Mytilus edulis: one gene and its partner. The protein of the gene in region 1 purifies or fractionates together with the protein of each later gene. This does not show direct contact. Links are inferred from orthologs where the notes say so. Each region holds a gene or a part of one and is shown in the gene's direction. Other genes may lie near its edges.

Region 1 (16,884 bases):
CCGCCATTTCTTCAGATAATCGTGACTTTGCCTTACAAACTATTGAAAAAGTTCAACAAGATATTGCTGCTCGTAACAAAACTGTTAAAATTGGTGACAAACATGGTTGGGACACCGTTAGCGAGTATGAAGGTAACCCTCTTGCTGATAACTCTGATGATGAGCGCCGTCTACGACAGGCCGAAACCAGGGCAGTTCGTAAAAGAAAGGCAGTCGCACCCAAAGACACATCAAAGAAATTTGCAGCTGATAAACTTTTTCGTGGCTTTAGCGAAACACCTGAAGCAAGAAGCTACAACAATGGTTCACAAACAACACCAAGATATAATGGTCAAAGATCCAGTACCTCAAACTTCAGAGCAAGGAAAGGACCGTCTCCCCAGGACACCTGCTACTACTGTGGTGCCACAGGACACTGGTCGTCTAACTGTCCAGAAAAAAGTCACAAGTCTAACAACATCAGCAGTTCCAAATGAGGTATTATCTTTGATTGACTTTAATTTATGTTTAGACACATACGAGTATGAGAATGAGTCAGTACAAGTTTATAATGTAAAAGGTCGATTATATAATAGCTTACAATTTTGGAAAGAAAAACTTTTATTGGCTGATAGTTTAAAAAATTTAGTTTTACCTATACTTGAATCTGGCTATTTTTTGAAATTTACCGATACACCTACTTCTGTATTTTTGAATAACAATAGATCTGCTTTTGAACACAAAGATTTTGTTAAACGTGCAATTGCAGATTTGGTATGCACGGGAGTCGCTAAGGTAGTTAGCACTCCCCCTTTTGTTGTTAATCCTTTATCGGTGTCGGTCAACTCGACTGGCAAGGAAAGGTTGATTCTTGACCTTAGACATGTGAATCAATATGAAGTGTTGTCTAAATTTAAATATGAGGGTGTAAAAGAGGCTAAAATGTATGCAGCAAATAAACATTTTGCATTTAAGTTTGATTTAAGACATGGGTACCATCATATAGATATGCATGTTGAATCGCAAAAGTTTCTTGGGTTTTCATGGAAAAGTGACGATAAAATTAAATATTACACGTTTACAGCTTTACCTTTTGGCTTGAGCTCAGCTTGTTATATTTTCACAAAAATGGTACGCCCTCTAGTAAAATATTGGCGGAGTAAAGGATTCAAAATAATTGTATATCTAGATGATGGACTTGGATTTGAAGATACTGAAAAATTATGTTTAAAAGTATCAAAAGAAGTATTGTCAGCTGGGTTTTTGCCAAATTATGAAAAAAGTGTGTGGAAGCCACAAAAAAGTTTAGACTGGCTTGGTTTTGTATGGGATTTACATAGAGGTATTTTAAGTGTACCCGAACAGAAAATGTTGAATATTTTGAATTATATTGCTTTATCACTTGTAAATCCTTGTAATACGACTGCAAGGAAAGTTGCAGGGGTTATTGGTAAAATCATTGCTTTATCACCTGCATTAGGTAATATATGTAGAATTATGACAAGACATTTACATCACTTAGTAAACGAGCGATCCTCTTGGGACTCTAGAATAAAATTAGATCTTATGTCTATTAAAGAGTTAGAATTTTGGCATTATTCACTAAAATCTTTACCTAATTGCGTGTTAGCACCAATACAGAGACTTCCCGAGAGGTTAGCTTATACTGATGCAAGTTCTTATGCGGGCGCCGGTTACATTGTGAATTTTTCTGATCAAATTGCGCATCAGATGTGGACAAACGAAGAAAAGCTCAAAAGTTCAACTTGGAGAGAGCTAAAGGCAGTGATTTTGACTTTGAAAAGCTTTCCGGATCATTTTAAAAATAAATTTGTAAAATTATTCACTGATAACCAAAACGTAGCTCACATATCTGAAGTTGGCAGTATGAAACAGGATTTGCACAATCTAGCTATGGAGATTTTTTATTTTTGTATAGAAAACTCGGTGTGTTTGAAAATTGAGTGGATACCAAGAACTTTGAATACTACCGCGGATCAATATAGTAAAATATTTGATTTTGACGATTGGTCGGTGTCGGACAGAATTTTTTATTATTTTAATAAAATATGGGGACCTTTTAGCATAGATCGATTTGCTAACAGTAACAATACTAAACTCCCAAGGTATAATTCAAAGTTCTTTGATCCTTTAACAAAAGGAATTGATGCGTTCACGTTTGATTGGTCAAGCGATAATAATTGGCTCGTGCCACCTGTATCTTTAATAGCTCACACTGTAAATCATATTCAATTATGTAAAGCTAGAGGTACATTGGTTATCCCTAAGTGGAAATCGGCAGTTTTCTGGCCGATGCTGGTGTCGGTTGACACTGGCAAGTTTGTTAGTTTAGTGCAAGACTTTGTTGAGTATGAAACCCCTTCTAATTTTTTCAACAGGGGGTCTGTTGAGAATTCTGTTTTCAACGAAAGCAGGTTTATTTCAAATGTGCTTGTATTGAAACTTGATGCCAAAAATGTATGAATGAATTTTGAGAAAAAAATTCTTTATGCGGACCTTGCCGCTTTTTGTTTTAATGATACTGTAACTGTAGATTGTACAGTGTGCATGTGTTGAATATGCGGACCTGGCCGCTTGTGTCACGGACCTGGCCGTGATTTTCTGTCCTTGAAAGGATATTGCATATCTTTCCATTTCTTTTGCAGATCTCTTTGAGTAAGGAATGGAAAGATATCTACAAACTCTCGCGCAAACCTGGGTTACATAATATCGCTTTTGCAGTTATGGATATGGCTAAAAAGAGTAAATCAGATTCCACAAACAAGAAATACGATTTATATTTTAATAAATTCAAAATTTGGTGCAGAAAGTTCAATTTAAAGTTTTTGCCAGCGGATGTATCTACAGTTTCCTTGTATCTCACAGAGTTAATACAATCAGCTTGTTCAGTGTCCGTACTTAATTCTAACTTTTACGCAATTAAGTGGTATCACGAACTGTTTTTATATCCAAACCCTTGTTGCAGTTCACTGTCAAACATTGTCTTAGAAGGGGGAAAAAGAATTTTGGCGAAACCCATACAAAAGAAGGAACCAATCACAGCGGATATAATTGTTAAATTATTCAACCTGTATCATGATATTTCTAACTTGTCTAACTGTAGGTTACTATGTATGTTATCTTTGGCTTATGCGGGATTTTTTAGATACAAAGAACTGTCGCTTATAAGAATGAGTGATATCAGTTTTCATAATACACACGTTGAAATTATAGTTCACAATAGCAAGACCGATATTTATAGACAAGGTAGTATAGTTATGATAGCAAGTACAGATATGCCGACTTGTCCTGTTAAATTTTTAAAACATTATTGTAATTTAGCTAGTCTTAAGATTAATTCTTCGGAGTACATTTTTCGTTGTTTGCAGTCCAAAAAAGATACTTTAGAATTGAGTAAATTAAATAAGCCTTTATCTTATACTAGAGCCAGGGAAATTCTTCTTGAAGCTTTGTGCGCAATAGGGTTAGACAAAAAGCAATTTGGTTTGCATAGTTTACGAAGCGGAGGCGCTACTCAAGCCGCTAACAACGGGGTTTCAGATAGGCTTTTCAAAGTTCACGGCCGTTGGCGATCCGAAAATGCTAAAGACGGATATGTGAAAGACAGTATTGATAAAAGACTTTCTGTCTCTAAAAACCTTGGCATCTGATATGCACTCTTTCGCCTTTTGTCTCGACTGGATGCTGCAAACCTACATCACATAGAATATTTGTGTTTGTGTATTTAAGCCTTGTATAGAAAAGAAATGCTTTATGTTCGGTTGAACCCGTGAAAAAGAACATAAATAAATTTCTTTTCGTTATAAGGCTTAACGAATACCGTTATGCGTAGTAATTTGCACGGGTGAATCCACCCGTGCATACTAAGCGGGAATTTAAATCATTCGACGGTTTGCATTCAATCAGTCTAGACGTTTAATTCAATTGTTGTTAAGGTCTGTTTGACTTTTCTTTAATTTTTTGTTCTTGTTTTTAAAACAATTTTTGTTCTATAGGTACTGTCTTTCACACGTATAAGCTATTTCTTATAGAAGTATATTACAATTCAACAGACACACATGTACACTGTCCAAAGTTACAGTATTTATTCAATTTCATGTTTACAATCATTTACATGTAGTTGTGAATTGTTTCTAATTTTTGTAATTGTATTTTGTAGATTGTGCAGGCTGTTGATCATACTTCTATAGTGAAGAGAATGTGATAAGGACTGTTTTTTGCGTAACACCTGCCATTCTAAATTTTTTGTTCACATGTTGTTATTATGTTCCGAATTTATTATTAAATGACTGGATGCTGCAAACCTACATCACATAGAATATTTGTGTTTGTGTATTTAAGCCTTGTATAGAAAAGAAATGCTTTATGTTCGGTTGAACCCGTGAAAAAGAACATAATAAATTTTATCATCGGTACAAACACATCATTTGTAAATATCAACATGCATGTACAACTTATACGATTAGGTATTTCACATCCAATCTTTTATGGTTATATACTTTACAAAGCACAAAGATGTCGACATTCACCTAAAAGCTAACAAAACAGATTTTGGCTTTGATATTGAATCACTTATAGGGTCTTAGCATCGGAAATAAACACATTTATTTTAAAACCAGTTGTTGGCATGTTACGGGTTATTTTCTCCTCATAAATTTTATGATGACAGTGGCGGATCCAGAACTTTTCCTAAGGGGGGCCCCGCTGACTGACCTAAGGGGGGCCGCTCCAGTCATGCTTCAATGATTCCCTATATAATTAACCAAATTTTTCCCACAAAAGGGGGGGAGGTGCGGGCCCCCCAGGCCCCCCTGGATCCATTAATTTGATGGAAACATAACCTTTCTATCAGTTTAATTGAGGTTTTGAGCTGGCATGTAAGTGACTGCTACTAGTCCTTTGTTAATTTTTTTAATCATCGTCATTTTATTTAGTACCTTTTGTTGCCTATTCTGACATCGGAATCGGACTTTCGGTGAGTATTGCTGTGTGTGTTCTATATTTACATTGGCTAGAGGTAAAGGGGAGGGTTGCAATCTTACAAAACATGTTTAGGTATCCTCGACGCATTTCTGCGCCTGTCCCAAGTCAGGAGCCTCTAGCCTTTGTTAGTCTTGTATGATTTTAATTATATATTTTTGAGTTTAATATGACGTTCAATATCCCATTTTTTTAGGGGCCAGGTGAAGCACGCCTCTGAGTGCGGGATTTTCTCGCTGTGTTGAAGACCCATTGGTGGTCTTCAGCTGTTATCTGCTCTTTGGTCGGTTTGTTGGCTCTTTAACACATTCCCCATTTCCATTCTACATTTTACCAAACAAGTTTTGCCCTATTTGAGATCTCTGATTAGAAAGTTAATTATCTGGTGATCATCATTTTAAAAATTAGCATCATCGTTAATTATGGTCTTAGTGTTAAGGAAAAGCTTCGACAAAGGATCTGTATTTTAATCAGATTAACTATGTAGATAAGATGGGTGTTATTTAATAGATATATTATAAAACATTATTTCCGAATCTTGGAGCCCAAAAAAGGAGCCTTATCACACCTTCTCATTTGAGTAAACATTTTTTACTTTCTTCATTTTGTTTAAGTGATCACACGATCCTATATTATATGTATCTGTTATCTTTTCTGAAAAGCTCAAATGATTAGGGTTGAAGTCATAAAACTTTGCTTAGTGCTCGGAGCACAAAATTCATGCTCGAAACATGAAATCCAGCATTTTGATTGGTTGATTTTGGAGTATGCGAACAAAAAACTGACTCGATCTATCGAATTATCAACAAAAAAAAACAACAATTATATTTGTTAATAGAAATTTTTAAAATGAACTATTCTAGAACATTTGCAAATATGTGTAAAGTAGAAGAAGGAAGACTTTTGTCTCATTTACAAATGTATTTAGTTCTAATATTTGATAATTGATTACCTTTCAGAATAGTGATTCACCAGTCATGGTAAAACCTTGTTGTTTAGCATCTATTAAACCAGTAAAGTCCTCTGTCTGGTTTAATAGCTGCTAAACAACAAGGTTTTACCATTTATGAGTTTGGAGACATCACAAATTGTAAGTATAACAAGAATGTGTCCATAGTACACGGATACCCCACTCGCTCTATCATTTTCCATGTTCAGTGGACTGTGAAATTGGGGTCAAAACTTTAATTTGGCATTTAAATTAGAAAGATCATATCATAGGAAACATGTGTACTAAGTTTCAAGTTGATTGGACTTCAACTTCATCAAAAACTACCTTGACCAAAAACTTTAACCTGAAGCGGGACGAACGGACGAAAATCTGCATCCATTAATAGCAAATCATCGGCCTTTCATCTTTCATATGGATAAGATCTATCGAAAAATACACTTGTTCGTCTGATGAATGGTTCGCTTCCTCTCATATCAGCGCTGCCTCGATTTTTTACGAGCAGTCGTAAGCATATAACAATATTTACAACACATCGTATCGTAAGTTTCTTTCGTGAATACAAATTACAACATACGATATCGTAGACCTTACCTTACGACAGTCGTAACGTTACGAGAGTTTTGTGAATACGGGGCCAGTTTCGTAAGTGGGTGCATTTTAAAAATACATGGTCTTTAAAAGTATATTGAGAATGTAATAAGAATATAGGGGACATTACGATGTGGATACCAAGTAGCCTGTATCCCAGACGCTTTTAAGTCTGGTGCAAAACCAAATGTATTGCTAAACCAAATCATCTTTTTATCTATATACCAAAAAAAATAAAAAAAATGTTTTTTGCAATTATTGTAAATATGTTTAGCTTTTTAATTTGTTTCCCTAGTATGTGCCTTCTTGTAATCTTCAACATATTGAAGTTCAGAAGTATTATGTAGATGTAGATGTAGATGGATATTAAGCAAATAAGGAAGTCTATATAAAAAAAAGTTAGCCGGAAAAATACAGCAAAATCATAATGTTATTTTCTAAATTATTTAATAATTTCGGACGATTTAAAAAAAATGGATAGCCCATGATTCTGCAGATTTTATTAGAATATATGATAAACAGAATAATACATGGCAAAATCCGTATCGCATGCGAAAAAGGAGAAAGCTCGGTAATCATTGCATTTCCCTCTCATTTAAATTAATAATTTTTTAAACAAATAAATGTCACACAATAAACGAATTTCGAATTTGTAATTTACAATGACGACTTTTAGGGGGGATGTTCACATTAGTGATAGACTGTTTGAACGGCAAGAAACGCCAATTATCAAAATATTTGATACCGGCCCGAATTTAAAAAAAAATCATACAGAGGATATATAGATTTTTGTCACACTTAAATTAACACTTTAGCAATGACTACGTGGTCGTTCTTCTAGATTTAAAAACAATCACTTAAGCCTCACCGGTAATTATAAAGTCTATCACATATTTTATAAAACCTAAGCATACTAGCTTTTGCAAAAAGATTATTTATTAACATCCGTGTTGCTTAAAGTTTTAAGCCCTTTAACATTAATTACCCTTTTGATCCATTACACATCAGCGTGATATTTAATTGTACTTTAGCAAATAAACAACCATCGCACTTTAGCGTGATACACCATCGTACTTTAGCGTAGACCATATCGCACTTTAGCGTGACCATCGCACTTTAGAGTAAAAAGTAAAAACACAAAAATACTGAACTCCGAGGAAAATTCAAAAAGGAAAATCAAAAATCAAAAGGCAAAATCAAAAGTCCAAACACATCAAACGAATGGATAACAACTGTCATATTCCTGACTTGGTACAGGCATTTTCTAATGTAGAAAATGGTGGATTGAACCTGGTTTTATAGCTAGCTAAACCTCTCACTTGTATGACAGTCGCATCAAATTCCATTACATTGTCAACGATGCATGAACAAAACAAATATACTCAAAGAGTAAAAATGTCAAAAATAGGGATACAACAGTCAATATTGTGTTATCATCTTAATATCACTACATAAACAACAAATGTAACAAAGTAGCACAAAAAGGCATACATCAAATTTAACATTCTCATTTTGCTTTTCTTATACGGCTGAATTTATCTATGTAAAGTCTACCCATAAATGAAAGAAGGTTTTCATTACTGGTGTAAAATTGCGCGTTTGAAATTCGCACAGGTAGACATAAAAATAATTTTGTCGTATGACGGCATACATAAATGCAGACTCACGTAAAGTAGATATAACAAAAAACAGACTTACAGTAAAAATAATAAATAAAATAATGGCGTGGTTCAAAGTATGACGGGACACATAAGTACAGTTTCACGTCAAATACGGCTGAATTTATCTATAAAATAGTTTAGTCATTCATAGTATGTCAAGATCCTTAAGTAAAAGTAATATCAATAAATGAAATAATTTTGCCGTTCAAAGTATGTGGTTTTACGTAACCACAGAGTCACTTCAAATGAATATCTAAAACAGACATATAAAAGAATACTATAATACGTAATTAAGATGCTAACAAACGTCAGTACGCAAAATCTATACTTCAAGACCATCTTGTATTATTTGTGAAGTTGATACGGAATATTTATCAACAAGTTCTGGGTATCTTCCGATGAACTTTTTAAGAAAAAGGACGAGACGTTCTTTGACATACCCCTGGTTCATCAATTTTCTGCTCAGACACTGGTAACGTTTTACAAAGTCTGAATAGGAGCTGCAAGCTCTTGAATACCTAATAAGTTGGGAAATGTATATTCCATATGCAGGTGAAGTTGGTATATTACTACTAAGGTGGGGGAAATTGATAATTTCAAAATTAAAATCGTCTCGTTTGTCATAGATTCTGGTACTGAGATGACTGTGTATGTCAAATTCGAGGTATAAGTCTAAAAATGAGGCAGAGGAAGCCGTGTCTGTGGTCTCTTTAATTTCTAGTTCTGGTGGGTATATTAATGGAATCCAATCAGAAAAGTTCGGATTGTTAATGGAAAGAACATCATCAATATATCTGAAAGTGAAATTAAATAACCTGGCTTTTTTATCTTCTTGTTTTTGACAAGTGTCTGAAGGAACTCCGATTCATATGAAAATAAGAAGAGGTCGGCAAGGAGAGGCGCACAGTTCGTTCCCATAGGAATGCCGACAATTTGTTGAAAAAGTCTACCTCCAAATTCAACAAATATGTTGTCAATAAGAAACTCCAGCATACTGATCACTTGTTCCTCTGTGTAGTATGTTTTACCCTTTTGTTCCTTATTAACAAAATATGCCTTATGGTATCCCAAAGTGATAAATTTATAGCGTATGCTACCATTTTTATGATGAAAAGCATTGTGAATTATTTCTTTTAGACGGGTTTTCAATTTCACATGGGGAATGGTTGTATACAAGGTTGAAAAATCAAAAGTTTTAATAGAACTAATTTCAGAAAAAGACCGAGATTTAAAATTATCCAGAAGTTCTTTAGAGTTTTTCAGAATCCACATATGGTTAATACCACTACGTGAGTAAACAGTTTCACAGTATATCTGAAGACCCTCTTTAACTGCGGACAGAATTTTAGTCAATCTAATGGACAATTCTTTAGTAGAACAAGCAGATGAGCCGGCAATGTACCGTTGTTTGTACGGAATTTTGTGAAGTTTAGGTATCCAATACAAACAAGGTAAGTCCTCCGATTTGTTGTTCAATGCAATGTTCATAGAAGCCATGAAGGACTTATGATTCGCCAAAATCTCATCCTTGTCAAATGATATGTTTTTGTATGTGGGATTACCTGAGTGTTCATTTATTCCTAATTCTTTTATAAGACACTCGTAGTAATACGATTTACATACAAAGACAATATTATTTGAAGCTTTGTCCGCAGGAACAACAACATACTTATCTTGAAGAGATGATAGACATTTCACAGCCTCTTTGTTACTGAAAATGGACTTACTAGATCGATCATTCACACAGTTTTACCATCGCACTTTAGAGTCCTACATATATAATAGCCAAAATTAATAATGTATTTCGTAAAAATATACTATTTTGTAATACAGGTCATATCCCAATTTTAACAATTTTGTTTTATCTCAAAGTCTGTGATTTCTATTTCGTTTCGTTTCGTTTCGTTTCTTTTCTTTTTGAGTTTTCTTTTTCGCTTCGTTTCTTTTCTTTTTGTTTTTTCGTTTCTTATTATTTTTCGTTTCTCCTTCGCGCTGTTAAATCGGAGCGTGTTTTTTTACCACAGAACCTAAAATACCACTAAACTTTACAAAAAATCAAAAAAATGTTTTCATTTCAGTTACATGTTTTCTTTTTTCCGTTTCGTAATCTGTTTCTGCGTTTTAGCAACACCCGTTGCACACGACACTTGTCCACATTTTCTCGCAGTTTACGGTCACTTACCGGTCACTTGTTCATAAGAAAATCTTATCTCTGTAGGTATGGCAGCTAATATAAAAGCAGTTTGTGTCTTGAAAGGAGATGGTGCTGTTACAGGAACAGTCGCTTTCAGTCAACAGGTAATATTTTTTTTTAAATAATTTTCAAAATTTGTTGCTCATGTTGCTGGTCAACATAATTTCCATGTCATATGACTACAGTTTGACCTTTTGTAATATAGCCCCCTTTACGGCAACCTTTTCTATGAGTTTCGTAAAAAAAACTTTATCCTAGAAAGGAAATTTCAAATGACTATTAAAAGTTACCTCTTTGTCAAAGGTCAAAACATAGAACATGTATGTTGTCAGACTTAGAGCACAGGGCTAGTATCACTATCAGGTTGGGAATGTGTTTTTATCCAGTACCTTGGGAGATACTATTATTAACCGAAAAGGCAACCAGGACCCTCAGTTTTTTCCGCAGGAACCTTGGCCAGTGTAAGCCATCAGTCAAAAACACAGCCTTTGGTGCATTCAGACCATCGATGGAGTAAGCTTGATCAAAGACCTTGAACGGGTACAGTGCAAAAAAGCACGATTGGTATACAACTAGTACACCGACACTTCCTCAGGCTGTGTCACTGGACTGAAAGACCAACGCGAGTGGGATACCCTTCTGCAAAGATAAATGAACCAGTGACTCATCCTTTGCTACAAGATCAAGAACCAACTAGTGGATATACAACCAGCTTTCAACTACACACTGGGGGACAACAGAACAAGGGTAGCCCATAGTCTGGCATAGAATCAACACCAGATAAAGAGCAACAAATATATATTTTTCACCACTTGATTTTAACCATTTTAACCCCACTTAAAAGGATAGTCGTTACATTTAGGGGTTATGCCTCATTTGAGGGGCTGTTGTATCATAGATGTTTTTGGGATGGAGTTACTCCGAGTATAGACCTTGTAGCAGTACTACTGTGTTTTTAGTGGACTTTTGCTTAAAACAGAACAGAATGCGTACCAGTGGACTGGCATATGTTTTCGCCCTCAAGACACCTATTATCATGATTATCATTGTTCTTACAATTCAACTGTCTATACAGTATCACTCTGCTCAGCTCTTCCTAAAGGTCTCACTAATAACACAAAGAATAAAAAAGTCTAAATATTACGAGAGTTCAACAATGATCAAAACTATTGTCTCTATATCTTCGATCACCTTAAAAATTCTATGCCGTATGGTTGAAGAAGAGTGATTAACATTGAATGTAGAATAGTATGTCATGTATGTGGACAAAAGTTATTTGATATTTAGGTCTTTCCACTTTTCGTGGAAAGACCTTTTGTTTTTCTTCTGATTATTTTTGTTTTTCTTTTGCCGTCTGAGATGCTTTTTTGTTTACAACATATCAAACTGATTTTTGGCCAATGATGTTGTACAGTAATTGAGGCTTCAAAACTCACCCTGTGTGACCGAACGCTTATTCTTATAGGAGTTATCTCCCCACGTCCCCTTTTTCTTGTTATCTTTATATCTGGAACCGTTAAAGATTTCAACAAACTGTTTTCACCAAATTGTTTGTCTGCTCTTAAGAACGGTTTGATGAATTTAACTGGAGTGATCGGATGACATCTTATGGGAGTTATCTCTCTTTGAAAATTTAAGATAGGTGATATGTTGGATAAATTCATACATTATAAGTCGTAGAGGCCTAAAGTCTTTTGATATGAAGTCCTTGTTCCGTTTGGAGAAAATTTAGGTCAGGGTCAAAGGTCAAGGTCATGTTCTAAATTAATTTTGCTTGTTTATATCTTTATTCAAAAGAAACTAACAGTTAATGATATGATGTGTTTGCCAAATAAATGTTTACGAAAGGGCACAACTTTAACCTGTTTAAGTCGGAAGTGTTTAGATCAACCCTTATAGGAGTTTTCTCCCCTTATGTATTTGAAATTAGTATTACTTCACAACCATACAAGTGATTTACCTGGGCTCTTTTGATTTGAGATCACTGACCTATGACCTTGAAATTGAGGTCAAATTCAAAGGTCAATTTGACGTTCTAGACTTTGACCTTTGCTGAGAATTCTTACTGGTTCATTATAAAACAATAAAGTCTTCTGCATTTGGTTGCAGACATTTCATCATGTACCATGTCAACGGGAAATGACCGTTTTTTAACCGGAAGTAGCCTATTTCAGACTATTCCTATGAAAAAGTACCTATAATTGTTTTTATTATATCAGTTTGAAGTAACAAATTACATGAACCATGAGTGACATTTTCCAATGTTCACTGTTTTTTAAATTGCATTCTTATTATCGAGGTGGAAAGACCTTCAATTGTTCTCTGAAGAATTGGTTTTTAATATTTTTTTATTTTTGAATTTATAAATTTTGTGTACATTTGTAAACCATGAATTTTCAAGATTGCAGTTTGAATTTTTGATCATATTTTTCTCTTTCAAATTATCTCTGATTTTTTTGACAAATTGTAACCTAGAGGTCACAAAACAAAACAAAAATTCATGTTTAAGTCATAAATTTGTTTGAAAACTTAGATTACATTTATTCAAATCTATTTAAATTATCACATAAATAACAAATATTTCTGAGTTTGATGTCAGATAAAGATTTTATGAAAATGATGTAGGAAATGAGCTTCAACTATTTTAGGAAGTTTGTATACAATTGGAAACATATTGAAGAGAAGACTTTTTGTCTAATTTACATATGTATTTAACTTCTGGTTTTAATATTTGATAATTGATTACCTTTCAGAATGGTGATTCAGCAGTGACAGTGACAGGAGAGTTAACTGGGCTAGCTCCAGGAGAACATGGTTTCCACGTTCACGAGTTTGGAGACAACACAAATGGTAAGACTATAGACACATTAGAACATTTTAAACAATTCCTGAAACTTTGAGATAAATAGAATTGCATTGAACATGAAGTTATACATTTATGAATATACAAACTTTTTTGTTTCTGTTAGGTTGTACTAGTGCAGGATCACATTTCAACCCATTTGGAAAGACCCATGGTGCACCAGGAGATGAAGAAAGACATGTTGGTGATCTGGGAAATGTATTAGCAAATGCAGATGGAAAAGCAGAAATTAAAATAACAGATGCAAAGCTATCCCTGACTGGTCCCCAGTCTATCATAGGAAGAACAGTAGTAGTAAGTAATATCAGAAACCAGACACAGCCTAGGAAAAATATGATAATAAGTCAAAAATGTTTATGGCTATTCCACAATATAACGATACATGTACTAAAAACATGTATTTTTTATCAATATCAATAAGGATGCTTAATTCTACAAACATAACATATACACAACCTAGGTTGCCTTTTCTTATTTTATTTTTAAAGTTGTGTAAAATGTGTATTATCATTTGCTAATGCATGACCTCAATTTTTCATACATGTGGACTATATGGATTGATTGTAAAAAGTCTAGGTCTGTCTGAATATGTTATGTGTAAGGAGATGTGATAGATGTGAAACAACTCTTTAAAAGAGACTAAATGACCCAGAAATTAACAACTTCAGGTCTTCGTACAGTCTTCCACAACGAGCAAAGCACATTTTGCATTATCAGCTCTTAAAGCTCCAGAAATGACAAATGTAAAACAATTCAAACAAGAAAACTAACGGCCTAAATTATGTATAAAATAAAGAAAGAAAAACAAATATGTAACAAAGCAACAAACAACAACCTCTGAATTACAGGTTATTTTGGACAGGCACCTAAATAATGTAGTGGGGTTCTAGACGTTTGAAGGCACCAACCATCCCCTTAGCTGTGACAGTGGTGTAACAGTACATCATAAAATCATGTCAATCTGAATTTTATCACAATACCATAACTTCATTTTTATGCTCTCCAGGTTTAATCAATTCAATAGTAAAATACAAAATAATGTTGAAATTAAAATAGCAATACTCATGATATTATAACATGTTAAATATGCAAAATATTCAGGCAATGAACCATAAGTGAAAGTACAGGAACAAATAAAGTCCATCTTATTGATCCATGCTTTCTTATTTGAAGGTGTCACTTCTGATATATGTAAAACATTAAACACTTACACACATTTTCTATTTCTTTTCAGGTCCATGCTGATATAGATGACTTAGGTAAAGGTGGCCATGAGCTAAGCAAGACAACAGGCAATGCTGGGGGTCGTCTGGCTTGTGGTGTCATTGGAATTTCAAAGGTGTAATGCATTCAAATGAATACTTTATGTAGTAGCAATGCAAAATGATTTTTTTTATTATTATTTAAAATCATGTAACAAAGTGCCCATAAGAACATGAAGCCATTCCTTGTCTCTGTATTACTGTAATAATTTCTATTTAGAATGTTCATGGCCATAGAATATTGAGTGTGGTATGATATATCTTTTAATTTTAAACTTTATGGAAAATATACTTTCTTCAAAATTGAAATCCTTCATACAATATGTCAATTGAATTATAACAATAATATACAGATAGAAGCACTGTAAATATTGATTCTCAATAAAAAAGAAAATGTTTAAAAACAATGAACAAAATTGTGGATGAAAAAGAGTATAAATTCAATGTTGATTGATACTACATGTAGTACCTCACTTTTATCCAGATTATTTACATTTATAGTTTTATTGTGAATAATGTATGTACTCTTGGTGTTTTGAATTTTTGAACAATAATACTGAAATGATAAAGGAAAGATTCCATCTTGTGCTTTATGTTGTATTTCTTGTTTATGTTAAGTTCTTACTAATACATTCTGTAATCAAACTGAAATGACTCATGATTGGCCCAGTAGTTATATTGATTTGCATTCAAATGCCGAGTCCTAAATATAAAATTTGAATGATGTCCAGTTTGTATGAGCCAAGTAAAGCTACTTTTTGACGTTCAGATACAACTTATAATATTTGACCTTCAGATACAAATTGTTTTATGTGAAGTAACAAGGTGTGTGAGGATATGTGGTGTCCAACTGAAACATACAGTATTCAGTAACCACAAATTGAAACTAATTGAAGCTGTTTTTAAGATCAGTGTAAATTATTTAAAACCTACATAGTAACAGAAAATGTTTCTAGTTTCATTTTAAAGGGCATAACCTTTATCTTACAGAATACAACTTGTCAGTATTTAATATTAATATATGATTTCATCCAAGCCATGACGACTTTGTGGTAGATTAGGGTCTAGCTGTTCCTATCCAAGAGTGCACATGATGAAATGCTTCTCCTGCTTTACCTAGGCTATTGAAGACCTGTTGGTGACCTTCTGCTGTTGTTTTTTTATTTGGTTGGGTTGTTGTCTCTTTGACACATTCCCCATTTCCATTCTCAATTCTATCTTGATTACAATTGTGTTTGTTGTAAGTCTGTGATTAGAAAGTTTTACAAGTACCACAAAAACTTATCAAAAATATTTTCAAATAGGTCAAGGTCATTGAAACCCTGCCAAACGTACATAATTCTGTCTTAGAATCTTACAATCATTCAATACATCACATAGAATTAACATTCAGCTTATAAAACTATTAAACCAAGAGTTTCAAATGGTGAAGTTGAAATCATCCCTTCTTAAATTTACAGAAGTTATCACAAGTTGGTCGACCTATATGGAATATCAGTTTCACAGATAACAGATATGTTCCTTATGTGTCGTGTACTGTTATTTGTGTTTGTCCTTTTCGTTTTTAGCCATGGAGTTGTCAGTTAATTTTTAATGAGTTTGAATGTCCCTCTGGTCTTTTATAGTATATGAGAAACTATACTCCTGCTTTACTTGCCTTAATTGAACTGATATATTGAAAAAAACATGCATTTTTAGAAATAGTACACCACTATTTAAAAGTCATTAATCGATTGAGAAAATTAAAAACTAAGGGAAACACCTCAACAACAAGAGGAAAACAACCGAAAACAAACGCCAACATACATCGAAAGGACTATTTGATAACAACTGCCATATTCCCGACTTGGTACATGAAATTAAGAAAAAACCGTTTGTTGAACCAGTTTTATGGCTAGCCAAACCTAATTACTAGTAAATGGATGTGTTAAAACATATTGCTTAAATGACAACAATATGTGAAAGAAATACTATACAAACATGCAAGAAACACTCAGCACAGAGAAACGCATAAATAGATAATATGTTATACATTACAACATGTAAACTGCAGAATAACAACTGACATCTTCCATTCAGGACACCACAAACAGTGACATATATATATAATCTTGAAGTTCATACAATTATTTGAAACAAGATCCAAAAATTCACAGGTACCTTATAGACCTATCAATGATCCTTTAAAATATGTTCTGGTCATATGAACCCTACCACGCAGACGTACATAAACATCTAACAATCATTCCATACATCACTTATTATTAGCATACTTATTATACCCCACGCAACGAAGTTGCGGAGGGTATAATGTTTTTGACCCGTCCGTCCGTCAGTCCGTCCGTCCGTCAGTCCGTCCGTCCGTCAGTCCTGTTTCTTGTCAT
Region 2 (16,774 bases), on another chromosome or scaffold:
TTCCAATAACTTGATTAAAAGTAATTCTGATACAATTAATAGCAATCACGTAACTCAGCGTGACCCTTACTTTGACAATTGACAGCAATTAAGATGTTATAATAAAACAATTAATTAAATTAATAAAATGAAAAGAAGAAAATCCATTGAAACTGTCTAATCAAATGTAAAAACATTGTTCGAACATAGCGACTATTGATTTTAACAGTAGTAGGTGTTTGAAAATTAGTACAAAAACCTTTTAAAGTTTAAACTGAATTGCTTTGTCGTGTTGACTCAACAGTTTCTATGTACAAATGTGTATATGGTGTTGTTCTTTCTTATTCCAAATTTATTAGTTTATCAACATTGTTTTAAATGCCTTCAGCTTATCATTCCAAACTATAAAATAGATTGAAAGATATATTCATTCCAATATAACTAGGGGGCATATTATCTAATAGTCATTGTGAACACCAAATTCATGCATTGCTATGCATCAAATGCACAACTGTGAAATCTTCTACTGACCTTTTTAAAATTATTGGGTAAAAAAATCTTCCTATCTTTGTATTTATAGTCATTTATAACCTAAAGTGGATACGAGTCTGCACAATGCAAACTTTTATCGGTTCTGAATAAAAATGTTAGTAGAAAATAGAATTTGAACTGCAACTTAAACGAAGATTGGAACAAGTGTTCAGTCATTTTCAACAGAAATTTCTTTTTTTTTGTTATTCATCAAATAATTGCAAGACAAATAACTTTCATGACACCATTTTGAAAAAAAAGTCTATTCATTCAAATTAGTCCACAACAATACAATGTAGTACATATACAGAGGTGAATCTGTTTTATAAATAGGATAGAACTCATTTTGCATACCAGTAGATAAACTCAAGAATTCATCCAACAGAATTTTAGCAAAGTTTGAAATTAAACAATTTACTCAAGTCAGTATATGTATATTCTTTAGCTTTTGGAGTTTAATGTACTCAAGTCAGTATATATATATTCTTTAGCTTTTGGAGTTTAAAATTGAAAAGGACTAATTCTAAAAATAAAAAATCTTGGATTAAATGTATATTTCATACTCAGTATCTGAACTGACCAGGGCACTTTTCTTAAGATCAAGTTTTTATTTTAATTCAGTTAGGAATGTTAAAACCACCTGAATATAAAAAATGAAAATGTTCTGCACTAAGCCTAAGACTATGGTCTAAAGTCAACATTACCTTACTATTATAATAAGTCATCACAGAATTTTAATCCAACAAATTTATAATCCTTCACTTCGAATCACTTTACTTTGAATTTATTTTCCACGTATAACAAACGTGTATTTTTGTATCTATATTATTTTACTCCATTATACTGTATAAATTCCTTTAATCATATCCAAATAGAACAGGAATTGTTGAAAGCAAATGCACCAAAAAACATGTGCATCTTTGTTTTACTTTTCGTATTTGTGCAAACTTGGTTGCCAAGAATTTGTTCTATCACAAAAATCAATTGTTTAAAGTTAACTAAACACCAGAGTAACAATTGACTTGTCTTATCAGTGACGGCTATAATTGGCCAAATTTTTCTAATTATTGACAGACAATATTTACACACAGTAACACAATATAACAAAAATGTTATAATTAAACATGCTCAAATTATTTTAAATCCTTGATATATGTCTCAAAACGTATGTGTTAGTCAATGAAAATCCTCCCCTCATAGATATGTGACAACAAGTCTAAGACTGATCGTTTGAAGATATCATCAAAATTTGCTATAATTAATAACCTGTGAATCGATTTATAGATGATCGCACATGGCGGATCAATCATTCTACCGATCAATGGAGTAGGAATTATGGAATCTTTTGACGAGGGATTTAAAGTTTTAACAAGGTAGGTATATATGTAAACCGATAAATGTAAACCTAAAATACATAAAAACTTCCAATTAAAAGTTGTTCTCAAAAGAATAGGATATAACTGTAATGGTAAAGAAAATAGTTCTATTACAATGTAAATTGTTTAAAAGTTTTGAGGATAATGGTTAAAGTTTGAAAAAGTTAAATTTTAACACCTGAAGTACACGTATGGGGTAAATTGGACAACTAAACATTATCATAAAGATTTAATTCAATACATATGTATTAGCAATTACCTGCTAAATAAAATTTTCAGTAAATAAATAAAAATGTTAGATCACTATTTGATATGAGTTATATTCATTGTTTAGAAAATTTATTAAAAAAAAATTACATTCTATTTAAAAATGAATTTACATTGATTAACCTGCAATGTGTTTGTACTTAAAAACTGCAGACAATAATTGTGATATTTGTCAGAAAAAAGATTGCATTTCAAAATTTAAGTATAACAGAAATCAATAAAAACTCAATTTACTTCAGAGATCCAGTATTTACCCGACCTCAATAGTAACCAAGATAAATATTAATGCATGTCTATATTAAGCTTAAATGAGAAAGGCATATCTAATTGAGAGTTAAGCTTATTACGCCATTAATTCAGACTATTTAAGCATCTTTATGGTAGTCCACTCAGTCAGATTATTGATGATTTTATCATTTATTTATAGTATCTTCAGTGAAAATCAGCCTATCTGTGCCATTAAATAAAAGATAAATACCTCTCATTTATTGTTTAAAGTTTTCTCACATGCCATTTTACAATAAATATTTATCTCTGATGAATTGAAGATTAAGTTCATTGTTGGGATTTAGGTAAAAGAAGTTTTGTAAACTCTCTATAAACACAGACTTTCTTTATCTTTACAATTTGTCAAGTTTTGACAAGGTAATATATTTAACCTGTAAATATAAACTTTTTAAAAAACATATTTCTGAAGTTCATACAGTAAGGTTAAAATTGAAAAGAGAGGCCCACTATAATTGTAATCTTACGTTCTTCTACAGTTAATTGATTTTTTTTTGTTCCAATTGATAACCAAATAATAGTAATAATGAATCCACAGTATAACCTTAATTGCAAAACAAAAATAGTTTATGCTGTGTTATCAAATAAGGAATAAAACTTGCAGATGCTTTTAGATTATCTTGAATTCATAAGCAGACTTATCAGACATGTAATAAGCGAAATCTTTTAGCAGTGCATAATAACATACTCTTGCACAATACAGTCAATTTATTTGATAGAATCTGTACCAACACTATAAATAAAACCATGAAAAAGGACTTTTAAGAAAATAAGTCCTATATTAGAGGGTTTGGATGGGGTTAAATGATTAAAGAATAATGCCCTTAAAAAATGAAGATTAGAGAATAACGGGCAAAAAAATTAAGATTAGAGAAAAAAAGGGGTTAATTTTTTGAAGATTTGAGAAAAAAAGGGGTTAATTTTTTAAAGATTAGAGAAAAAAGGGGTGAAAATGAAATGTTTACAGAATAACAGACCCCCCCTCATCCAGACCCTCATATAAAATACATTCATATCTGTCCAAAGTGTATAAGAAACCAAATTTGCATGAACGAATTGAAATATCGTGTCATAGACATACAAGACATGCATATTGTTAGCTAAAAGTTAGTCCTTTTTTACACAATTTAAAATTCTTCTTCAGAGCTTCAAATGCAAATACTGGTAGTATAAAGCTTTTTATCAAAGTTGTATTTATATTTTTTAAATGGTTGAATGAAAATTTATAACCATGTAATATATTTGAATGCTTCATTTTTTAAAGATTTAAATGATGAAAAGAAATAAATCATGAAGCGCATATTCAATTCATCATACTTTAAAGTTTCATTTTTTAAATTTATATACAATATATCTTCAATGTTGTACCGGAAGTTTGATCAAAGTAAATATAACCACCTAACAACTACTGCTGGGTTTGTAATTTTCTTTTTAATCAGTTCATCGCACACTAACAAATACAAATACTTTTAAAAATGGGAGATAACTCTAGTTTAAAATTATGTATTTAAATCTTTTAAAATAAGACTTCAGCTAGAGCCTGCTCTTTTGGTGTTTTTTTTAAATAACAAATAAACTTATCATATAAACCATTATTAAACAAATTTTCGTATTTGAAATGTTTTTTTGTGAGAGAAAAAAAAGGACAAACTTTTTATAAATACTTAGAAAAAATATAAGAGATAGATACGACCCAATATTCCTCTATATCTCTGACATGCAGAATCCATTAAAATCTAGTGTATGAACGTACAATGTCATATGTACAATATATTTTGAAAGTATACATTTTGCGAGCTTAATGCTGACATCAAGGCAGTGATATATTTATGGAGGTTATTGTGGTGTAAAAACATTTTACACTATCTTATGCTATATTTTTGTAGAATAATTATCCCTTCCACGATATTTATCTGAATGCATTCTACATAAATGTGTCTACCTTTTTTGAACGGTACATATGTGTACAAAAAACATAAATTAATTTTAAAAGGTTTATATTTAATATTATTGTGTATTGGTTCATGCAGTCACTGACCTACATATACTACATTATAACATGTAATTGACAGCTTAGTTGAAGGCTTGGTAAGACACTAAAAAGGTCAAAATCTACAGAATGTGTTTCTTATTATATGTCTTATCCCTTGTAATTGTAAAAGATTACCCTAGCTATTTAGTCATTTAATCAATACATTCTAAAACAGCAGACCAAATAATGTATCTATTTCTGAATGCTGAGCAGTAATGAACTTATCTTAATTGTGTATGATAAATGTCATAAAAGTAATAAAATTAACAAAATTCTATAAGTATGATTGAATAAAGTTCATAAGAGTACAGAAATGACAGACATGTATGTACAGTTTCAAGCAGACAAAATGACATGACTGTCTCAAGCCATGGATGTACTTTGCAGAGATCTACAAATATAGATTGCTTATTAAATGTATAATAATGCCAAAACAGTTATCTATCTTAATAATCCTAAATGTATTGAATGTGTGGAATTTCCCTTTTTGTATAACAATATTATACTGAAAACCAGATCAGGAAATATATTATTTTTGTAATATTTTTATCTAAGGATTGACCAAAAGCATTGAGCTGACATATGCTGGTGGATGTATATTAACTCTTATAGAAAACATTAAAAAATATCATAGATTTTACCTTTAATTGTATCACACATAATTTCACAAGCTTGTAAATATTTGATGGTGAGGCACAACTTGAAAAGACTTATTGTCTGTAGTTATACCTTTGTAACTGTCATTCCAAGCAATATTATATTACATGATTTATGTGGACATACCTGTCGATATCTAGATAACTGATGATAGAAAGAAGTTTTCTACAGAAAAGAGAGAAAAACAGTAAACAAAGGAATAGGAAGAGCTGACGAAAGTGTGTCAACTGTATTCAAGATATCTAAGGAAAACTTGAACTCTCAATCCAATTTGACTTGAATTTGTCTTTTGACTCTGTAAAACTGTAGTACAATGTACCATTTATAATATTATTAAATGAAATGATTAACTTGTTGGAATGTACTTGCAGTCCCTTTTTTCATAACAGCAGAAACATAATAAGAAGTTGTATCTTTTTTGACACAGTTTTCATTGATCTAGTACAGCATATTTTCTATTAGCAACCTCCTGCAACAGTAAAATATCAATGCCAATGTATTATGTCATCTATTATGAATGATAGCAATGTCTTCAACACATTCAACATGAAAGACTTGAAAATAAGCTTTCCAGTAAAGATACTTTGGAGTGGAGAATATGGTAGGGTGAAGTAACAATTGTGGTGAATGTTACAATGTTTTTCAAAAATGTTCAACTTGATATTCCAAACTATCACACCTAGCAAGATATGAATTAACATGTAAAGTGTGAAGTGAAAGTGTTAATTGACAAATTGGTTCAATACAAATTACAAACGGAAAAAATATATATTTCATGTATTTTGTAAATTTATTGAACACATAAAAACACCAACACCAAAGTTACAAGGGAATACACAGACTCTTTTTAATGAATCTTTTCATTGTCTGAATAAGAAGGTGGAAACCATCATACAGAAATTTACAATATGTATTCAATCTTTTAACATAGTTAATTATTTCTGATTTTTTACTATCATTTTCCAAAAAAAGGACAATCAAGATATATTTTCTAAAGTTACTAAAACACAGGTTTGTTTATAACTATGTCTGACACTAATGCTGTTGTTTATGAAATTGAAATATATACACAAGCTAATGATAAAAAGTAGGAGAAAGATAGGGTTCTTTTAACTTCTTTAAAGACATTTAAAAGATGTATGCACTATTTGTTTTTGTGACTGCTGTTAGTCTGTATGTAAATTCCATTTCAACATGCAGTAAATTAAATGTTCACTATATAAATTGCAAGATATTTTAATTTTAAGCCTTTTAATATTTCTAGATTCTTATTGTTTGTGTAATTTTGATGCACTAGTGAAAGCAAGCTTTTATCCTCAAACAAATATAAAGGATATTTGTTTTTAAAATATGAACATACATGTAGATATACTATAAATGTTGTGTTCCATGTTTGCCTTAATAAAATAAAGCAAGCAAAAAGAGTGTAGTGAAAATTTTGCATTCTGTCACTGCATGTTTACATGTTTGGTATCAAAATGTTTTAAAGTGCCTGTATGCCAATAAGGCTAAATGTACTATAGACAAGATAGAAAGGAAAAACAACCATCACCAAGAGAAAAAGAACATGCAGGTCTATTGGAAGTGAAATATTAACAATGTTACTCTACCTGAGTGGATGATCTTAATAACTGACTTTGTGAAAACTGTCGCTCCTATTAAAATGAGAATTGTACAAATAAGAAATGAAGTTACATGTTATCATTTAACTATGATAATGAAACTTGAGCCTGTGTATCGTGTAAACATGAATAATAAATAACAGTTTAGGAGGAGATGATAAACTACAAATATACCACTGCGCTTTTTCTTTCTGATTTTGGGCATCTGGTTTTTAAAGGTAACTCCTAATTTTAAATTTTGTTACTTAAAATGTAATGTATGCATACAATTTAATCTGAAATCTTTGTTATTGAACACCTGTTAAAATCTTAGTTCTTACTACAAGGGCATAATGTTGACTACCACAAAACGTAGTTCTAACTGCAAGGGCAAAGTTCTGACATATTTACTTTTGTGGCATTACAATAGATTAATAAATATTCACTTACTGGTGGTGGATTTTCAATTTCTAATGTGAATGGTACACCATTATATCCAAACTTAATTAGGTCTCCAGGCGCCAATCTGACAGTTGCATTCTGAACTCTACATTCGTTTACATATGTTCCTTGGGATGTGTTCAGATCTTGCAGCACATAACCATCTTCTTGTTCACTGTACTCAATAACACTATGTTGAAGGTCAACACCTTGTGTCTGTAATTAGTTTAAATAATCATTCAAAAAGCATGAAAAACAATATTAACTTTACAAAGCTAAATAATCTGTAAAAGGTGTAAAAAGTGAATGATCAAGGAATATAAAACATTACAGGCGGGTCATGGTAGGAGTACCTTCATTAGGAATAATGGTAAAATACCTAGCTAAATGATGCCAATGATAGTTTTTGATGCATGATGATAAATGTACAATTTTAACTGATGATTGAAAAAAAATCATCTGATTTTGACGAAATATGTTTTATTTATTTTGAAACATAGTGGCAAGACATGCAAGAGTAATTTATTTGACACCCCTGACAATTCACACTGTAATTTCAACAAATTTGACATTAAAAGTAGCTGCAAATGACTGTTTGATACTAAACATAAGAGGCATTCCTACCCTCTTACATTCTGAAGGATGAACAACCATGAACCAAAATATAATGAAATTTGATACTCTCAGACTAGTATGAGATTACTCTGACGTCCAACAGCTGTTTGCCAGACAAGCTGGGGCCGTGGGCCTGGCAAAACAGCTGTTGGACGTCAGAGTAATCTCAGACTACTCTCAGAAAAGTGATTTGATCATCTTTTTTAATATAAAGGTACATGAATATAGGTGATTTTTTCAGAGACAAGTGAGTAGTGTCACCTTCATGATGAAGGACCTTGGATGGAAACCTCTTGTGGAAAGAAGACGCTAACAACGACTGGTACTACTATACAAAATAGTGACTGACCTGGTAGCCATCCCCACTGAACATCACGTAGAATTTAATACTAGACCATCCAGAACTTCAAACAAATAAAACTCTTATCAGCAAATATTGACATATATAAACATTCATTTTTTCCACAAATTATCATTGACTGGAACTTACTACCAAATACTACCGTGAACTGTAAAACTGTGGAAAGTTTTAAGGCACTAAAGGCAGTTTATAAATCGTGTGACTAGTTACATCAGTGGCGCACACACACTTCCTGGATAAGTTTTACTCAGTATTTTGAGTTCATTTCCAGTATTATACAGATACTTGAAGTGGGTCTCAAAATTTTATCGCTATTCTCAGCTGACCTGAGAATACACCTTATCGCTATTTGTCCGCCATTACTGGACATCACACAGGTTCCCGTAAAATTTTGACGTCATAATTCAAAATATCTGACGCCACAATGGAAAAGTGATTGTTGTATGACGCCAATAGTTCAAGCGGAACAGATTCTCGGGTCAAGCGGAAATAGCGATAAGGTGTATCGGTCCTGCTTGAACTATTGGCGTCATACAACAATCACTTTTCCATTGTGGCGTCAGATATTTTGTATTATGACGTCGAAATTTTAAGGGAACCTGTGTGATGTTCAGTAATAGCGGACAACTAGCAATAAGGTGTATTGAGGTCTAAGCATGACACAGGATTGGCTTGGCTTCCTTTTTTAGTGGGACACGTAAAAGTTGAATAATTTAAAAGCGTGAAAACAGGATACAAAGTCTGGCGGGAAACGTGAGATAACATGCACTATTGTGGCATGGAGAAGCAGGATATGGAATTCTCAAAAAACAATAAGCCAGATCCAGGATCATACCCCTCTTGAAGTGTGGTTTTTCTGTGTACTACACTTTTTTCAAATATATGAATATTCAATAAATCTATACCTGTAAGTTGATGTCACAACCTTCACGTCCAACTGTTGTCACTTTGGGGGCTAAAGTAAATGCAGACCCATCATTTCCTTTTAAAAATGCTTTCATCTTGACACTCTAGAAAGTTGTTTACATTTGGTTGCTGCTCGGGTTACCAAATACTCATGAACAGGTGCCCGTTTTCCCACGTGTTTCCTGAAAATATTTCTTCAGTTGTCAGTTTTGATGAGATATTTGCAGACTCTATCAATGTAGGATTAAATTCTCCACGTGGGATTAGTAAATTAAGTCAGAATCAATTGTTTTTCTATTTTACATGCAGAATAAACAAGTTTTTTGTCGGCGCGAGTGATGTTGCGCATGCCCAATAGCGCATAACAACCAAACATCCGAAACCTCGAACCTGGATACAAAAATAAGCAGAATTGTTTTTATCTCTGAATAATAGTTTTAATCTTATAAAGGCTATATTTTTAATTGTCTTTTCTAGTGTTATGTAAGATATAAATGTTGAAGGTACACTTTAATAATTTTTACAAAAATTTTCTAGTAGAGATTATTGAATAAAAAATCTGTATCTTTCATACGTTTAAACTAACGAAGTAACTAGGAGGTTAAACAAGTTGCATTGTGCTTCTGAATTTAATGTTTACATATTTTTTAATAAAATTTGGACAACTTTGAAATATTAAATTGCCAAGTGACAGCTTTTAGCAAAAACAAAAATGCCAAGTGCACTTGTTCTACTCGCCGAAGGGGCAGAAGAAATGGAAACCGTCATCACAGTGGATGTTCTAAGACGGGGAGGAGTACGTACCTTATGCTTAGGCTGAGTCCCAAAATTATAATCGGCCCAAAATAATACACCTTATCGCTATTCCCGGCTATCAGACCCGAGAATCTGTCCCGCTTGAATAAACTTATGTATCTTAATGTACATGTTATTGTAACGGATCACATCAAAGACATCAAATAAGGCGATAAGTCGAGTATGCGTTCTATATAAGTATCTTTATTCTTCAAAACTACATATGGCTAAATATACTATATCATAACAACCGATTCTCTTCAATAAAATAAAATACACATAAACATACATCGTAAGTAAAAATATAACTTAAAAAACTAAAGGCATTAAATACTAATCAAACAATATGATTCACTTTCTTTCACGCTTCATAAGTAACTTGTTAAATTAAAAAGTTAATTAGAATAAATATTAATTTATAAATACTTTTACAATTCTTAATATTTCTTCTTAAAATAAATATTGTTCTTAAAACTGTACATAAATTATCTCTTACCGATTATGATCTCTCTATAACAGGTTGGGAACAAACCCCCTGTAGGGTGATTATACCTCTATAGAGGGATAATCCTTCTTTAGAGGGATAAAATTATCCTTCTATAGAGGGTTATTTTTGTTTGCACTGGATTTAAAGCAAATTAGGGCAGAATGGCATTATCTAGTTATATTGGCTATAATCTCTAGCATTATATGCATCAACATATGCACTTTACTAAAAATTAGGATAACCAGTTTTCTGCTAAAGTGACAAAACTTGCAATCTATTGTAAACCTATCTGAACACCTGATCAACAGCAAAAGGAATAGGTCTCGGTTATTGTATAGAAAGGTATATACTATGAAAATTAGAGCGAGGGGCTTTGCCCCAAAGCTCTTATTTTCATAGTATATACCTTTCTATACAATATCCAATTTAGCACATATTTACAACTTGAGTAATCCTGTAATTAGTCTATTGATATGTTTTGGCTGACTGGATGTAGCTCATTTACGTAGTTTTGTAAATCTACTCACTATAATATCATTGTAAAAATTGGATTTCAAAAGGCCCTTGACTTTAGAATGTAAAGAAGGTAGCTGCTGGTGTACGTATGTTTATTGATATGAACGAAAACGTTGTTTTACTATACATGTACTTATTTACATGGTAAGATGACAAAATGAATTGACCAAGAGCAGACAATTCTTAAATTGCAGTGAAAGCTTTACATTCTTGAAAACATTTTTTTAATTTCACATAAAACCTAAAACTATCACAAACAGTTGGATCCCCGTCCCACATCTTTGGTTGAAACACCTTTAAAAAATGGCTGGATCTGCCCATGGTATGTACCCATAGGTAGTCTAGTAGGTAGTTTATATGCATGAAATATTTGTCACTGGACATTAGGCAACCAATTATCGACCAATTTATGACTAAATATATCAAATTTCTTTATTAATAATTTCCCTTTAAAAGATTCATGGTTGACTCTTTTTGTGTACAAAGTAATTGCATGGAAGATAAAGGATTACAAATTTTAGATTGAGTTGTACTTTAATCAAGGTATAAAGCACCATTATTATTACTCTTTATTTAAATGAAAGAAACTTTTTTAATTGTCAAAACAAAATTTAGATCAAAAGATTGATTAGTAGGATGTTAAAAATCTGTTTGAAAACTAATTACAAACTATTTAGTTAAATTTGGAACACATAATTTATTTCAAAATAGCCAGTAGCAATTTTTGTTCTAATATCTTGATTACAATACAATGAAATCTTACCCTTGTGGTCATTCATGCGTAGTTACTTAGTACACGGAAAAAGTATGTACTATGAAAATTAGAAGGCAAATTCAAGCAATTTGATTGGACGAGAACTTGTAAGTATGTGCTAATGGGCGTATGACATTTGCGCCAATTTGAAAATTTTCATTCTTTCATTTGCGCCAATTTCATTTTTTCATTTGCGCCGATTTTATATTTGTTCCTAATTAGATTTACAGGTAATTTAATACTTGTACATGTACTGTACTATACCATTGATAAAATCTGGTTATAAATGTTGTTTATTTATGTTTAATAGATATAGGAAGATGTGGTGTGAGTGCCAATGAGACAATTCTCCATACAAATAACAATTTAAAAAGTAAACCATTATAGGTTAAAGTACGGCCTTCAACACGGAGCCTTGGCTCACAACGAACAACAAGCTATAAAGGGCCCCAAAATTACTAGTGTAAAACCATTCAAACGGGAAAACCAACGGTCTAATCTATATAAACAAAACGAGAAACGAGAAACACGTATATATTACATAAACCAACGACAACTACTGTACATCAGATTCCTGACTTAGGACAGGTGCAAACATTTGCAGCGGGATTAAACGTTTTAATGGATTCAAACCTTCTCCCTTTTTCTGAAACAATAGCATAACATCACAACAAAGAAAAACATACGATAAAATATCAATTGGCAGACTTAACTCAATCAAAAAACGTATGATTAAATAAGTTTATTTTGATTCATATTGTTCTGGAACTTCGTTGTAACATGATGGACATATTACACACTGAAACCGAGGAGTAAATTTTTTAATCATCGAGGGCCATACATATCGGAACTTTAGTGTCCTGAAACATAAGAACATATCTTACGAATGTACCACAAATCGTGTAAACCCAGAGTCACCACGGATTCTATTGTCAAAACACTGATCGAGCATAAACATGTGGCAGATATCCGAAAGACAGAGGTTAAAGAACTACGGGTACTGTCAAGAAAAAGTCTGGAGGTGTATCTTGTAGGTCTTCTTCCATCTCTCAGTAGTGAGCAGGAGACAACAGTTATATACATGTTATGATTGACAATTCATTACATTTGTACAAATGGCTAATGGAAGAGGTCTTAAATGATAAATGAAAAATGACATGACTTGGATGGAGAGTTCTCTCATTTGCACTCATACCACATCTTCTTATATCTATTCACCTGTAATTTACCTGTAAAAAAAATCGGCGCAAATGAAAAAAAAAATCGGCGCAAATGAAAGATAAATCGGCGCAAATGAAATGCAGATCGGCGCAAATGCAAAACGCCGGTGCTAATTGACCTTTAAATTTCATGTTAAATCTAACAATAGAAATTCTGTTCAGTGAGGCATAAGTGAGTAGAATTTACCTGATCATCAGAGCTTTCAATCATGGTGAACAATAGATTTTATATTTAGTCAGATAAGTATCAAACTGGGTATGTGCATATTAAATTAAGTACATTAATTGGTGCATCAACTGTTCCAGGTTACTGCCATAATAAGTAGAGAATGCCATTCTGCCCTATTTTGATTTAAATCCAGTTTAAACAAAAATACCCCTCTATAGAGGGATAATTTTACCCCTCTATAGAAGGATTATCCCTCTATATAGGTATAATCACCATACAGAGGGTTTGTTCCCAACCTGTATAAAATAATGATGTGTCTCCGAATATCAAATAACTAGCAATGAATAAAAAACTAGACAACGTAACGTACGTCAAAAGCGAAACGTCATAAAACTTAAAAACGGGAGATATTATAATGTTCATGATCGCAACATTACATATGCGCAAATACCCAAAAATAGTATCTACAAGTATTATAAATAAAATAAATAAATTCAGTAATAATAAATAAAGTAACCCAACAATTTGGAATAACATTTCAAATCTAACAATTATATTAATGTTTCCGGATAATAACTAGTATAAATAAATAGAAATCAATAAAATTTTAACATATGTTTATAACCACAAAAGGAAGGTTGGGATTTATTTTGGGGTTTATGGTCTCAAAGGTTTAGGAATAAGGGGCCAAAATAAACATTTTTGTAGTTTCAAGGTTAATAACTTGTGATTAAGTGTATGAATCTCTCTGACTCTCTGAAATTATACCACAATTTTTCCATACTACAAAGGGACGGTTATGGGGGTGGGGGTGGGGTTGTTATGTCTCAAATCATTTAGCAATTAGGGGCAAAAAAAGGGGGAAAACAAGGGTATTTCTGGTTAAAGGACAGTTTTGACAATTTAAAAGCAGTGTAAGGGAGGTAACCTAATTCTATTTAAAGAATACTATATATATGTTTGATTACCTCCCTTACTCTGCTTTAAAATTATGTATTTAGAAATGAATCATGATGATTGTCTTGAGATGATTATCTGTAAAACTATTTTTAGAAGTTACTATTAATTTTAACCATGACTGTATGTCATTTTATATTTTGATATTTCATGATGTATTTAAATGAGTAGTTATTGTTGCAAACTCCATAAGAAATTTGAATTGAGATTATTTTTGAAATAAGGGAAAGGGGGAGGTGAACAGACCACATTCATTCTGTGCCAGAAACCTATGCTGTGTCAACTATTTAATCACAATCCAAATTCAGAGCTGTATCAAACTTGAATGTTGTGTCCATACTTGCCCCAACTGTTCAGGGTTTGACCTCTGTGGTCGTATAAAGCTGTGCCCTGCATTGGTTCAAGAATTGGGTAAACATTATTTTTCACCAGTCACTCGTTTCATATACTTTAATGTAATTGATTACATTACAATTACAATTACATGCTAATTCAATGTAATAGTTTACATTTCAATTACACACTAAGTCAATGTGATTGATTATATTACAATTACACACAAATTCAATGTAATCAATTACATTACAATTACACCTTAATTCAAACATATTCCATTACTTAATATTAATTTTGAGGTTTTAGATTTTGCATCTGACATTTACCTCCTTTTTGCATCAATTGAGTGACCTAATGATGTTTGCTGTAAAAATAATTGCTTTGGACAGTGATATATATATCCAATCCTTTTTTCAATTTTGATCAGAGTTCTCGAACAGTGGTGGTCCCAGGGATTTGACAACTAAAATATGCAAAGGACCATCACAATTTCAGAATTATTAATATAAAAAGTAGTGAGGTCAGCAGTTTTTCTTCAGGGACCACCAGAAATAAAAAGATTTCTAGAACTTTGTTTTGATGCTAAAAAATCATTGGCTGTCAAAAGACTCAATAAGTGATAATTATAAGGTGTATTGTGCACAATCAAACAGCAATACTGTGACAAAAATTAGCAGAGAGACTTGCAGGCTTCAACATACAATGTACAGACATTAACAATAGATAGGTGTCTATAGGGTATCTCAAGCTTTTTATCATCTAGTGTCTATAAAATACGGTACACTATATGTTTATCTGTTTATTCCCATGTGGGGCAACAACAAGGATTTTTGGATTGTAACGTCTTCTATACAAGAGTTCAGCTCCTAAAATGAACATTTCAAACTCTGTTGAAATTTTCATATTTACATTAGAAATCTAGTCCCCCAAGACTATATGCAGATATCGATAAAAAAGAATGAGTTATGGTAAAAATGTTTATATTGTTGAGTCCAGTATCTTCTATGGGAATATTTAACAAGTACCTGCATATGTAGAGGGGTTAAACTAGGTATTTGCAATCTCAACCTTTTCCCTTATTAATCTTGGTCAGCCTGATCAGAGAGTAAAAGAACATACAAATCAGTACAGGAAAACAATGGTCATTGTATAATAGATAACAAAAGCACAAAATAACCTACAAATTATATATACTATATTAAATCATTCAATCCTATGTATACTCTTCATATCCCATGATGTACATGTGCATGTATTTCAACAAAATTAAAGATTTTATACTATTAGATACACTATAGATTAAAATTTCATCAATTATGATGTCATCATATCATAATTTAGGCTTCTACTTTATGTACATATGCCTTTGCTCTTTCTTTATTTACAAATCATTTGGCTTTATTATATAATGTTAGATTAAAACTATGACAAAAAAAGTCTTAACATCCCTCTTTCTTTTCAATTTAGAAAGCTTAAAAATATTTCCCCTGTAAACTTAATGTACATGTAATTGTCTGTTATTATAGGTAGATGTGACACTTGCAGGTATTGATGGCATTGATCCAGTTGTCTGCAGTAGACAGGTGAAAATTGTTCCTGATAAGAGTCTTGATGATGCTTTGAAATCTGGTCCTTATGATGTGGTGGTTTGTCCTGGTGGAGCAGGAGGAGCAAATAATCTCTGTCAGGTATCTCCATAGTAACCATAGCTTATTTATTTCATCAGCTCAACCAGATCCTAAATGATGTAGAACTTTGCAAATATAGGTCACTGTACAGACATCTACAATGAACAAAACGTATGGCATAGCAAGTTTTAAAAGGCTGCGGAATGACAAATGTAAAGCAATTCAAATAAGAAAGCTAATGGCCTGATTTATGCCAATTATGGACATTACAATAAACAGAATAACAAATATGATATACAGCAACAAAAAACACCCAACTGAATTACAGGCTCTAGTAATAGATATTAGGTTTTGGTCTATTTCTCAGATTCTTTGAACATAATGGCTTTTATATTTGATGAATGGAATGAGTGAGGTGTACATGAATGTCTTGTAGATTTCATGTGACCTTGCCGACATTTTCAAAGTTCCTTGATCAATGTGTGCCAGTTTACCTATATCAGATACTTTGAGCTATTAAAAATCAACTACATTTGGGTATGGAATGATTGTAAAGTGTCTGTTTGACAGGGTTTACCTGACTTTGATCATATTTATATGGATCATTGATAATGTTAAATTTATGTGATACCATTCTTTTTGTTCTTCAACATAACTTTTATCATAATAAGTAAAGTAGGCAACACATGTCAGTGTGTGTTCTCTTGTTTCAACTTTTGCATTTGGTATTTGGGTATTTTATGGAAGTTTTAAAATCCTATTTATTTCATTTATAGTCTACTGCAGTTGGGAATCTGCTTCAAGAACAAGAAAAGGGTGGACGATATGTAGCTGCTATTTGTGCAGGTATGACATTATAGT

What was found.
Region 2: the proteins of superoxide dismutase [Cu-Zn]-like (region 1) and Parkinson disease protein 7 homolog purify together in Homo sapiens (affinity purification with mass spectrometry; 4 studies listed by BioGRID and IntAct, with this or other methods). This does not show direct contact. The link is inferred for Mytilus edulis from reciprocal best matches to the Homo sapiens genes SOD1 and PARK7.

The regions. Positions count from the first base shown.
Region 1 is NC_092353.1:20,695,941-20,712,824, forward strand, and holds superoxide dismutase [Cu-Zn]-like, read left to right. Parts: upstream 1-10,302; 5' UTR 10,303-10,401; coding exon 10,402-10,479; intron 10,480-13,128; coding exon 13,129-13,225; intron 13,226-13,344; coding exon 13,345-13,532; intron 13,533-14,472; coding exon 14,473-14,583; 3' UTR 14,584-15,151; downstream 15,152-16,884. Other genes in the region: uncharacterized protein, read left to right, coding at 1-476; integrase/recombinase xerD homolog, read left to right, coding at 2,724-3,650. UniProt on the Homo sapiens protein: Destroys radicals which are normally produced within the cells and which are toxic to biological systems.
Region 2 is NC_092356.1:41,312,468-41,329,241, forward strand, and holds the start of Parkinson disease protein 7 homolog, read left to right. Parts: upstream 1-9,596; 5' UTR 9,597-9,763; coding exon 9,764-9,847; intron 9,848-15,811; coding exon 15,812-15,973; intron 15,974-16,689; coding exon 16,690-16,759; intron 16,760-16,774. Other genes in the region: forkhead-associated domain-containing protein 1-like, read right to left, coding at 6,738-6,782, 7,179-7,385, 9,051-9,146. UniProt on the Homo sapiens protein: Multifunctional protein with controversial molecular function which plays an important role in cell protection against oxidative stress and cell death acting as oxidative stress sensor and redox-sensitive chaperone and protease.